3 linked regions of the Sus scrofa genome follow. The protein of the gene in region 3 purifies or fractionates together with the protein of the main gene of each other region. This does not show direct contact. Links are inferred from orthologs where the notes say so. Each region holds a gene or a part of one and is shown on either strand. Other genes may lie near its edges.

Region 1 (3,646 bases), on a different chromosome or scaffold from region 3:
GACGGATGTGTGGGCCACCCGCAAGCCACAGAGCTGCTGGGCCTGGGGTGACAACCCTTAGAGCTTAGCAGACACCGAGGAGGAGCTATCGGGGGAAGGGCTGATTTGGGGGTTTAGCCCTGCCCATGCGTGGGCAGAGCCTGGTGGGCTCAGGGGCCTCACCGGCTGTTCGATGACCCTTAGCACAGTCCTCTTGATGTCGGCGATGGCCTCCGTGTATACGGCTGCCAGCTCGTGGATGAGCTTGTGGTTCTGAGGCAGGAGAGCCAGGTAGAGGTACAAACACTGCTTTACTGTCTCCTCGGTCCAGGGCGCTGCCACCTCTGGTAAGGCAGGAGGTGAAGATCAGGTGAGGCCTGCTCCCCTCCCACCCTCAGGGTCTGGTCCTTCTTGGGAGGCAGGCACAGGAGGGAGCTGAGCTGGGAAGCAAAAGTCCCCAGGGCAGGAAGCCTGTCCTCTAGGAGGTGGGGGTGGAAGCGGGACGGCTCCCCTTCCGCAAGTCTCGGCACTCAGTGCCCACCTTGTCTCCTCTGACCACCAGTCCACGAGGCAGCCAGAGAGATCTTCCTAAGTGCAGTTCTGACCCTGTCCCTCTCCTGTTCAGTGCTCCCACAACTGTCCTGTGCTCTCAGGACAAGCCCCCAGATCCTCGCCCTGCTCTACCTGACAGGTCCTGGTCAGGGCAGCCCTGCCTCTGGGGCCCTGCACTCTGGTCACACCCCACTTCAGACAGACCCCAAGGCCTCCACTTTGGAGCCTCTACACGTGCTGCTGTCACCAAGAACACTGCCGCCCAACTCCTCTTGTGGTGCCTCCTCATCCTCTGGGTCTCACACCCTCTGGGTTCCCAACACTCAGGCTGCTCCAGGGCTCCTGTGCTCCTAGAAGGCCCCGTGCTTCCTGCCACAGCCTCCAATTTATGGTCCATCCTCTTGGGGCCAGAGTCTCCCCATCTGGCACACGGAGGACCCAGAGCTCTGCTGAGTGAGTGGGCCTGATATGATCCTGCCTGGAGCTGCATCACTGGCAAGCTGTCCTTGTCCTCGGCTTTCACCCAGCTGTCCCCACACCTCCAGGACCCTCTCCCTGACCCATCAGGCTGGGCCAGGCACCCCCTCTGGGCTCCCACAGACCCCTGATTTTGCCACCCAAAGCCTGCTTGTTTCGGTTACTGCTGTCTAGCTGTCTTCTCTAGCAGGCTCTGACCCCAGGGCCCAGTCCAGAGCCTGGGACGCAGCAGGTGCTCAACACACCCCTGAAGAACCTGTACCAAACCTGTGTCTTTGTCGGCTCCAAACAGCACAGATGGTGGGTTGGGGTGGACCAAGAGCTGCAGGTAGTTGAGGGCAAACTTCTCCACATACTCTCGCAGCTGCTCCTTCTCGTACATGCGCTTGATGAACAGCAAGGCTTGGGAACGTACCTGAGGAGAGAGGAGGGCAAGGTGGTGGAGGGGGCAACAGCTGTCCTGAGCTTGGCAGCCAGTGTGAAAACAAGCCCAAGTCTGAGGAAGGCCTGGCCTAGCTGAGTTACCTGTGCCCAAGACTGGCTTGGGAGGGAGGTTTCCTGGCCCAGCTGAGGGCCCTGCATCACCTCGCCATCTACTTGCCTGGCTCCATTCTTATCACGTCTGGCCCTGCTTGCCCTGCTCCAACCAGGAGCTTTCCTCAGTTCCTCACAAGTGGCGGCCTTCTCCCTGGCACTGAGACTTGGCACACAAAGTTCCCACTGCCTGGACTGCCTGTCGCTGGCTATATCCTGCTGGGAGCCAAGAGGACAGAGCCTGGTCTGGGGCATTGCTTTGTTCCCAGCAGCACCCCAGGGCCGAGCCAGAGTGTGCAGTCAGGGTCTGCTGAATGAACGGACACAAGACACCAGAAAGGAGCGGGTTGAAGGCAGGAGCAGGGATGGTCGCGGGCCCTCTCCATCACACCGAGGCACATCTGACCAGGGCGCAGCCATCTACTCCTACTGCAGGTCTTGGCTCACACGTCCCGACTCCGGGAGGCTTCCTTAAACCACCCCCTCCCCAACCCCCTCGCCAGGGCTTTGCAGTCACACACTACTCCACTCCTGGCACTGAACACATGGTGTCTGCTGGTAGGTCACACTGGCTCCTCCCAGGTCCCAGCACAGTGGGGCCTTAAGAGGGGCGTACAACACAGGCAGAATAAGAGCGAGAACGGGCCTGCCCTGCTTGGGGTGTGAGTATATATATGTGTGTACCTTCTAAGCAGCTTCACGCCATCATAAATGGAAAAACCACCACCACCACCAAAAGACTGTTGTAAGATGCACATTAAGCCCAGAAAGTTTCAGGGGAGTGTGGAAAAGGCTGGGCTGGTTACTCGGGACAGAGGAAGGACTGAGTGGAGCACAGCACAGGGCGGTGGGGGATCACCTTGTCCTTCTCATGCGAGCTGAGGTCTAGCAGGACGTGCAGGTACTGGAACTGACGGGATGGGCGCTTGAAGATCAGGTCTCGAAGAGTGGACATGCCCAGGTAGGTGCGGCTCTGCGGCAGGAAGGAGGGGAACCAGAGCTCAAGGCCCCTGCAGGGCACCACTGGGAGGTCTCCCCTGCCTCAGCCAGACCTGGGACTGGACCAGAGCATCCGGTCCCTCCCAGAACCCCCTGCCTGTACCATGATGCTCGGAGTGGCGGGAGATCTGCCGCCTGTCCTCACCTCATCCTCACAGTACTTGCGAATCACCTCCAGGGCACTCTCCGTGATGAGTGGCGCCTCCAGCACGACCTTGGTGAAGATCCTGCCAGAGAGGGGGGGTAGGGAACGGCTGGCTTCCCTATCCTGCTGATCATAGCTCAGAACTGAAAGTGCCCCCCTCCAACAGCTTGCTCAACCCCCTGGATACAGAGCTCTGGAAGCAACAGAGCAGGGTTCAGACACTGCCAGGTGGGTGTCCTGGGCAGAGACGACCTCTTGGAAACTCAGTTGCTCCCATTTTTCAAATGGAGATTCCTAGCTTGTTTAATATAGCAATGGGAGGGGATGACGGGAGGCTGTTCTTTGAGATGTGGTGACCAGAAAAGGCTGCTTGGAGATAACAGTTGTCAATGCTGGCAAAGGAGAAAGAGCCAGCCACGGAAGAAGTAGGGGGAGAGCATTCCAGGTAGAGCAGAGTGAGTCTATCAGAGGAACAGGAGACTGAAGGCCAGCGAGCTAAAGTTCGGGGGCAGTGAAATGCAGGGAGGCAAAAAAGAGGCTGAAGAGGTTGGCGTGGACTGGATTATACACGGTCTCATAGGACACAGTAAGGAGGTGCATTTTAGCTGAGGACAATGGAAGGTTTTTAGTGGGGAAATAACAAGACACGGTTTACATTTATAAAGTGTCACCTGAGCTGCTATGTGGAGAATGAATAAGCTGGAAATCCAGGACACGGAGGAAGCTACAGAACCGATGTGGGCAAGAGGTGGGGATGGTGAGAAGTCAACCTCGGGAACCAGCCTCCAAAGCAGACGCTGTTACTCGTCATGTATTATATGAGAAAATGGAGGCTCAGAGGGTAAGTGACACAGGTCAGAGAGCAAGCAGCAGAGCCAGAGAACAAGCCCGGGGCACAGGGCTCCAAGCCTGCACGGAAGCAACCTTGTCGTGCAGACAGTGGGGAGAAGAGGGAGAAAA
Region 2 (3,646 bases), on a different chromosome or scaffold from region 3:
TTTTCAACCCTATTAGGCCCAGTGGCCTCTTTTTTTGTAACATATTTTTGCAGTGACCCTTTGCTATCCTAAAATGAATTGCACAGATGATACAACACACTTAACGTAGTTTCAAAAAACACCAGTTTCTCAAAAAAAAAAAAACCCTAACTATAATATAAAGGAGAAGGAAAGGGAAAAAGAACGTTTTTAATACGCAAATTTCAAGCACAACTACACTAGAAAACAAAAAATAGCAGTCAGATACTTGAATTTATACTATAAAAGTAAAAGACCCACGTATGTTGTTTTGGCAACTCAGATACCTCAAGAACTATTGACACTGATGATGTGATTTTCTGAAATGGCGAAAATGAAAACTTTTGGTGAAAGTTCTTAACAAAACAAAATAAAGTACCCATAATTTACTCAATAATTTCATTTTTGGAAAATTCAGTGTGTGTGTGTATTCATATATATTTATACACACATATATATATACAGGACAAAGAACCTTCTTGTTTACAAGTAAAACAGACAGGTTCTAAGTTCAGATGACTATAAAAATTTTCATTTGTGTGAATGTTTAGCAAGATAATTGAACGTTTTGCAAGGCAGGCAAATTCTTGATTTTGTGGGACTGTCTCATACACTGAAGGACACCTGATATCCTTATTGGCTTCTTGTAAGATGCCAGCCTTCCCTCCCTCAAATCTGTCACAACCGAAACAGCGTACCCACACATTTACAAAGTACTCTGGGAACAGAACTGCTTCCTGTGGGAGGAGTTATTTGGGTAAGTGCCCTTGTTCTGTGTTACAGAACTCCCTGCCAAGGTTTTGGTAACCAGTGAGCTTAAAAATTCGTATTTAACTCACTTTTCTGTCACTGAAGCCTAAAGTGCACTAACAAACTGCATTTTCTGTGTAACTACGTTGTTTAGTGGTTGTTATGACCTTCTTTTGTAGATTTCTGCTTGTGGGGCAGGAAGAGGAAAATTATTAACTCAGGCATGGTCCACGTTTTTTCTCCATTGTCCTAATTCTTTTCCTACCCTTTATCTTCTAGGAGGAATGCAGGCCCAGGTTGGAATGCCAGGAAGTGGACCAGTATCCATGGAGCGGGGACAAGGTAAATAAATATTAATGTCTGATTAATGTGATCTAGATTTGGAAGTGTTCTGATCTACACTGTCTGATATGGCAGCCACTAACTACGTGTGGCTATTTGAATGTTTAATTAAATTGAATCAAATTGAAATTAGGTAAAAATCTAAAACTTAGTTCCTCATTCACACTAGCCACATTCTAAGGGCTCAATGGCCACTTGTGGCTGGTGAATGCCATAGTAGATATTGCAGGTACAGAACATTCCATCATTGCAGAAGATTCTTTTGGACACAGCTGTCTAGATTTCTATCTAGTGATTCAGAGCCCGGCTGTACAAGAATTGATGACAGAGCAGATGATTCCTTTGTTTCTATTTCACTTATATCACCTTTTCTTAGTAATTTAATGCTTCTCCTGACACGTTCTCTCTCCCTCTATGGAGATCTGATTAAGATGTTTTAATACTGAACATATAATATGTGTCTGTGTATGTAGAAGATAAATTTCAACCCCAAGGATCAAAAGTCTGTGAAGCCTGTCTGGTAAGTGTATGTTGAGCTGTGGCAGTAACACTGCATACCACAGTGGCGTTCACTCCAGAATCTCCATGTGTTTCTCTGTGATACTGGAGTTTGAAGAAACAGAAACTGCAGTGATTTGCTTAAAAACAACATCAGGAAGAAAGAGGGAAAAGAGAAGGAACTAAGAGTAAAAATGAGTGCATCCAATAGGCCACACTCTCTAATTTTCACAAACCATCATGTGAGTTAGCTGGCAGCACCTCAGTTTTCAGGTGAAGGGCTGGAAGCTCAGAGTTTTGAGTTACTCCTCAAGGGGACACGGTAAGTAAATACTGGTATCCAAGTAACATGGATTGGGCTTGGTGCACTCATCTTCCGGCTAATAAGCTGCAGAGCTAAGATTCCAAAGTTTCTAGCTCCAAAATCTATTCTCTTTCTGCTAAACCACGCTGCTTCTATTAACTTCTAAAGATGCTCTCTAATGTCTTCTATTTTTATTCATTGTGCCCTTGTGATGAGAAAGAACTGCATTAGACAAGCCTGGGGAAGCTTAAGTTACTTCTTATTAGCATATGGTCTATAAGGAAAACCCATTTTTTTAAAAAGCAAAATGCTAAGATACAGACCTATGCACTCTACTCCTTGTCTATGGTTTGTACACTGGGGTTGGTTGCCGAAGTGACACAACTAACAATCTTGTCAAACATTTGACAGTGGAACAAGCTCTTGTCCAAACACTTCATCTGAGCAGCCCGTGCTTTTGTGCTGTTGTGCCCCACTGCCCTCAGCCACTATCAGTAGATCATGTATGTTCCCCAAAGTATTTTTGCAGTAGTGAGAAGGAATTAGGGTTTCAGTCATACTTTTACCTCTTCCCCAGCCATCAATCAAACTTTAGCTGTTTAATACACACTTCTGTAAGACATCTTCCTTCTTGATGTAGTTATCTTCACCTTTCTGGTCAAAAGTTAACAAAGGGAAGTGACTTGAGTTTTGAAGGTATGTCAAAAACGTCTTCATGAAGAGACAAAATGAGGTGAGTTTTATAGTTTTCCTTTAGCGCACAGCAGAGGAAGCAAGAATCTTTCTACTTGTACCCAGTTGGTCTTTCTTTTCCTGCCATCCATTCTTCTTTTGCACATTTGTAATGGTGAAAAGAAACAATGAGATGTTTAAGAACATACTTCTTGCCCTCTGCCACCTTTGTTTAGTCTTGGTGCCCTTGTCATCATATGTCTTTGCAGTTGTCATATGTTTGTTTATCACAGACTTACAGTGGCAGAGTATTTCTTGAGGAGTGATATTCTCTTTCCTTGTCTAAAGTTCATTCACTGCATTTCCCCATTTGATACTTTTTTGATAGAAATTTTTGTACTTTAAAATATGGCCAAAAAAATAGTACTATGAACTTCTTTTGTGGACCTTTCCAGAATTAATCTTGCCTTCCAGATTCAGTACAATTTCTTTCTTTTTTTTTTGTTTATGAAAAATATATTTATGTTCTTTGCCTAACCAGAGATTCAGAACCATCCTTTTTATATTTAATTTCTTTTTTTGAATGGTATCATAAGGAGATTTAAGGGGAATCATAAACAGAGGTGAACATTGAAAGTGGCTGCTTATTCCTGCTCAGATAAAATCAGTGGCCCACAGGTTTTATCTTAGGAAGCAATCTCATCAAAGCAGAACAGCTTCAGATCCAAAGAAGCTAATTTAGTTTAGGAAGATTTTGTAGTCCGGGGCAAGTTAATGAACTCTTGGCTTTTTAACTTATATGTCTAAATCTCCAGTGTCTGTATGTGTATGCTTCTGCGTGTGTGTGTGTGTGTGTGTGTGTGTGAGTGTGCAAGCTATTTTAAGTGTCTGCTCTTTCTCCTTTTGAACTTACTGCTCACCTAGGAACCCTACAGCACTCGCCCGTGGGACCCGCCGGGCCTGCATCAATTGAGCGAGTTCAAGGTACCCATTGTATCTGCGGGTTTCCTTTTGCTTGTGGTGTTCAGGGTGGGACGTTGAGAGGACAAGAGCTGCTTGGCA
Region 3 (4,240 bases):
GCACACCATCATATAAGCAAAAAATGAAAGAAAAGCCCTAATGAATAGAAAAGGGCCAGCTAATGAAAGGCCTTGGAAACTCTGGACCTAGTTCTAACTGTTGGACAGAACAGGTAACAAAGAGATATTTTAAGATCAATTATAAGATGACAGGATATAGGCAGTTCTGCAGATTCAAAACATTTGCTGGTATGTGTGATTGTTTAGATAAAGTCGGTGGTCAAAGCAGGGAGATAAAAAAAAAGAGAGGATTTAGCAGCCCCCTCCCTCCTTTCACCTTTGCTGGTGCTATTTTGAGACTAAACTTCTTCAGCCTCAAATGCACCTTATAACTCTGCGACATGAGTTCACGAGTCATTGTCTAAGGAACCAAGGCTAGAAACTCTACATGTTTGATTCCTCCCTTTGCTTCTTGAACAGACTGTTACCACCTCCGGAATTACTCTCCCCTTAGAATTCCTTGTACATTTACCATTCCCTCCCCATTCCGACAGCAAGTACCTTAATACAGGGCCTCATTGCCTTACATTTGGGTTTCTGTTTCTTGGCCTCCAGCCTTTCCTCCCTTCATCTCAACCTAAACCCTACTGCCAGATTAATCTTCTGAAACACCCCCACATGTATGAGTCCTTGCTTAGAAATCTCTGAAGGCTTCCTACAGTCTGAAACAACCAAACCTGGAGGGTGCCAGCAAGCTGCCCTGACAGCACTGCTGACCATCACCAGTTTAAGGCCCAGCCTAAATTCCACTCCTCACTAATTCCTCTATCATTCATCTAGACTAGTACGGCTCTGTCCAATAAAAACAGCATGCATATCAAATGTAATTAAAATTTTTTTTCTGGGCCACATTAAAGTTTTACAGGTGAAATTAATTTTATTTAACCCAACATATCCAAAATGTTATCATTCCAACATGTAATCATTTTTAAGAAACTGGTTTTTTTTTTTTCAGTCCTAAATCTTCAAAATCCAGTGTGTATTTTATATTTACAGCACAACTCAATTTGAACTGACCACAATTTCAAAAGCTCAGCAGCTACATGAGGCTGGTGGCTACTGGAATAGCACAGATAGCAACTCTGAACATGCTTTGGACTGTGGAGCGTTGTGCTCTGTCACCCCTAAAGTGCAAGGAGGCACCGTCCTATTTTTATGCACATCTCAGACTAGACTTTAATGGTATCACCAACCACTTAGTCTCCCAGACGAAAAATTCTGAAGTCACCTTCTTACCACAAATTGGCTGCCACCAGTTGAATTCCTTTTTGACATTTCAGAAATGTCTAACATCCTTTACTATCTTTCCCCAATGAAGGCACTCATTTCCTTACCTGAATGACTGCAATTTCCTCTCATTCAGTTCCAAGTTGATCTTCCATACAGCTATCAGAGAGACCATCCTACAAAAAATAGCCTCATGCCCCCTTCCTTGTGCAAGGCAGTCATTGGCTAAGTACCAAAGAAAATCTCACACCTTCCTTGGAAAGCAAGGTCCTTTACAAGTTTACCTCAATCTTCCTCTTGCTTCACCAACCACCCTTGCACAGCATGCTCAAATACATTCATTCTCCCGCTCTCCCCAAGCTTGCCAAAACTTCTCCAGTCTCTGCATCCCCGCACTGCAACCAAGAATGACCTTCCCGTGAGCTTAGTAAATTCCTTTTGGCCCTTCACGACCCAGCTCAAATTTACTCTTTTATAAAGCTATTCTGGTGTCTCCAAGCAATGGTATTTACATTTAGCTGGCACAAGTGGGCACAAAGAATAATGGTGAATGGATGTTGAATGGCATGAGAGAAGCGTTCAGGTGAATCTTTTAATCTCCAATACGGAGCACAGCGTTCAAAGCAACGTACATGTGTACTGAAAGGAATGAACCCTCACGACATCATAAATTGCTGCTGGGCAGCGGTTTTTGACCAACACCATTTCATCTTAACTATCTATCAAAGTTACTTGCTTTCTTAATAACGATTGTGGGTGCATGTTAATGACAACTAAGGGGAATCAGCAAAGTCTAAGGAAAATGAGAGTCTGGGTTAACCTCGAAGACTCGTAAGAAGTCTCCTCCTGGTCAGTTCCGGGAGAGCACTGGTTTCCTAACAGGATCAAAGGGGTTCTAACATAAAAAACATTAAAATATTATTAGGGCATGGGCAATTGCTCACTCAAGTTCGCCTGGTCACAGGAAGCCAGACTTGCCAGGGTTAAAATTATTCTGACCTCTTGTTTACTGAAGAGTACGTAAATAATGATAATACGGGAAGTGCTCAAAGGCTATGGGGGGTAGGGGGGAACCGAAACTTTTTTTAATAAAGCATGGTAAGGTCTTTGAGTCGATTAACTAAAGAGGACGCCTGCTTTGTGGCCAGTAGCCTCGTGGTCTCTCAATCCGAGGCGACAGGAAGACCCCAAGCGAGGAGGCTGAGAACAAGGCAGCCACAAAGCTAAGGAGCCAAAGCGGACGTCGGATTAACTCCTCCGGCGCCGAGACTCAAAGGGGAGGGAAACAGCAAAAAAGAGGGAAGGAGAGCATGGGACTGAATCGTAGGAACTGCCACAACAGAATCGGGAGCTTCAGACCCATGAAGAAATCACTGTTTCCCTCACTGAGCACTTCGGCCGGGAATGACCAGGAGAGTCACAACCGAAACCCCAGGCGCGCGTCCCTGGTGGAGACCGAGTCAGAGTCGGAGCCAGGCTCTCCCCGAGGGCCGAGGACGCCCCCTCCCCCATCCAAAGGCGCACTGATTTCTTCCGCCCCCACTTGCCTCGTCAGTCCTCCCCCAACGCCGTCCACTGCCCTTCCCAACCCCTAGTAGAATCCAGGTTCAAGAACGAGAAAAGCTGATGTTGGCTCAGCAGCACCCGTGACGATCTGCCAGCAGAAAACCCTCAATGGCGGCCGCCATTTTGAAACTGGAGGAGACCCGCGGAGGCGGGGAGGCGAGGGGTGATACCATCTTCGGGGGCGAGGGGTGACAAAGCTGGAGGAAGGAGGTGGTGCTAACACCAACTCTTCACCTGGGAACAAAATTTTATTTTTAAAGGCTGTATAATGTGTTAAATCTTAAAGAAATGTGATAAGAATCAAGGAGTGAAAGGAAGAAGATTTATGATTTCCCGGAGCCACCCCTCTCTTCGAGCGGGCCCGGCGAATGGTAGATCCCGAGGCCACAGCTTCCGCCGGCGCTGGTGGCTGGGTTCACCGCTGCCCTTGGTCGTGGGGGTCGTTGTTGGCTCTGAGGCCGCAGGTGGGTCTGGGGTCGAGGCGTTGGAGGCGGCTAGAGTTGCTTTTGTGCAGGCGGAGTGGGGTGAAGTTCTAGGAAAGCCTTCTGCAGCCTGTGTACGGGGAGGTGCGGGGGATCTGGGACTTTGCAGGACTGGAGCGGCGCGGCTTCCCAGGCTTCCCAACGAAGGAGAGGGGGACAGGGGAGGGGGGGCGGAGAGGGCGTTGCTTTCTGGAGGACCGCTGCGCTCAGCTTTCCCGTCTGATGCCTTTTGAAAAGGGTACTCTGAGGCTAGCATAACTGGAAAATGTCTTTTGATGTTGCCCGAGCGGAGGAGACACTATCTGGGATCACAGCTCCTAGGCTGCAGGAGAGAAGGGGCTGCTTCTCCAGAAAGATCTCCGATTCGTCCAAGTTTCAGAGTTCTGTCTTGCTTGTTACTCAGCATCGCAACCTTGCTCTGTTCTACATCTCAAATCCTCTTGAGCCCACCATTCCACAAAATATGCACTTTGTAAAAACTTAATTTTTAAAAAAAGGATTTATTTGTGCTTTATTTCTAGCGTGTGTATGTTGTTAAGACAGGGTTCCAGACCTCAAGGAGTTTTCTGGCTCCCGACTTTTTTTTACGTTAAGTCGACACATTTTGATCAATACATATAAGTGCAATAGAGACTAATTAGAGAATAGAATTTATTTTTTTAATGTCTAATCAACTATTATTACAACGTGAGTTTGGAAGGACTTAGAAAAATACACACCATATACAGTCTTCTTTTGAGAAGTTAAGAGAGAGAAATGGATTGAAGAAAATGTAAATAATACAAGCATACCTCATTTTATTATGCTTCACTGATATTTTTTAACAAATTGAAGTTGTGGCAACCCTTGTCAGATGATGGTTAGCATTTTTTAACAATAAATTATATTTTTAATTAAAGTATGTACAGTGTGTTTTTAGACATAATGCTATTGCATATTTTAAATAAACTGTAGTATAGTGTAAA

The links.
Region 1: the proteins of CPSF2 (region 3) and SYMPK purify together in Homo sapiens (co-immunoprecipitation; 8 studies listed by BioGRID and IntAct, with this or other methods). This does not show direct contact. The link is inferred for Sus scrofa from reciprocal best matches to the Homo sapiens genes CPSF2 and SYMPK.
Region 2: the proteins of CPSF2 (region 3) and CSTF2 purify together in Homo sapiens (affinity purification with western blotting; 3 studies listed by BioGRID and IntAct, with this or other methods). This does not show direct contact. The link is inferred for Sus scrofa from reciprocal best matches to the Homo sapiens genes CPSF2 and CSTF2.

The regions. Positions count from the first base shown.
Region 1 is NC_010448.4:52,149,350-52,152,995, forward strand, and holds part of SYMPK (symplekin), read right to left. Parts: intron 2,769-3,646; coding exon 2,687-2,768; intron 2,516-2,686; coding exon 2,402-2,515; intron 1,424-2,401; coding exon 1,276-1,423; intron 324-1,275; coding exon 163-323; intron 1-162. UniProt on the Homo sapiens protein: Scaffold protein that functions as a component of a multimolecular complex involved in histone mRNA 3'-end processing. Specific component of the tight junction (TJ) plaque, but might not be an exclusively junctional component. May have a house-keeping rule.
Region 2 is NC_010461.5:82,522,191-82,525,836, forward strand, and holds part of CSTF2 (cleavage stimulation factor subunit 2), read left to right. Parts: intron 1-1,047; coding exon 1,048-1,110; intron 1,111-3,508; coding exon 3,509-3,568; intron 3,569-3,646. UniProt on the Homo sapiens protein: One of the multiple factors required for polyadenylation and 3'-end cleavage of mammalian pre-mRNAs. This subunit is directly involved in the binding to pre-mRNAs.
Region 3 is NC_010449.5:113,658,599-113,662,838, reverse strand, and holds the start of CPSF2 (cleavage and polyadenylation specificity factor subunit 2), read right to left. Parts: upstream 2,902-4,240; 5' UTR 2,775-2,901; intron 1,453-2,774; exon of another isoform or gene 1,335-1,452; intron 1-1,334. Other genes in the region: NDUFB1 (NADH dehydrogenase [ubiquinone] 1 beta subcomplex subunit 1), read left to right, coding at 2,902-2,949, 3,080-3,257. UniProt on the Homo sapiens protein: Component of the cleavage and polyadenylation specificity factor (CPSF) complex that play a key role in pre-mRNA 3'-end formation, recognizing the AAUAAA signal sequence and interacting with poly(A) polymerase and other factors to bring about cleavage and poly(A) addition.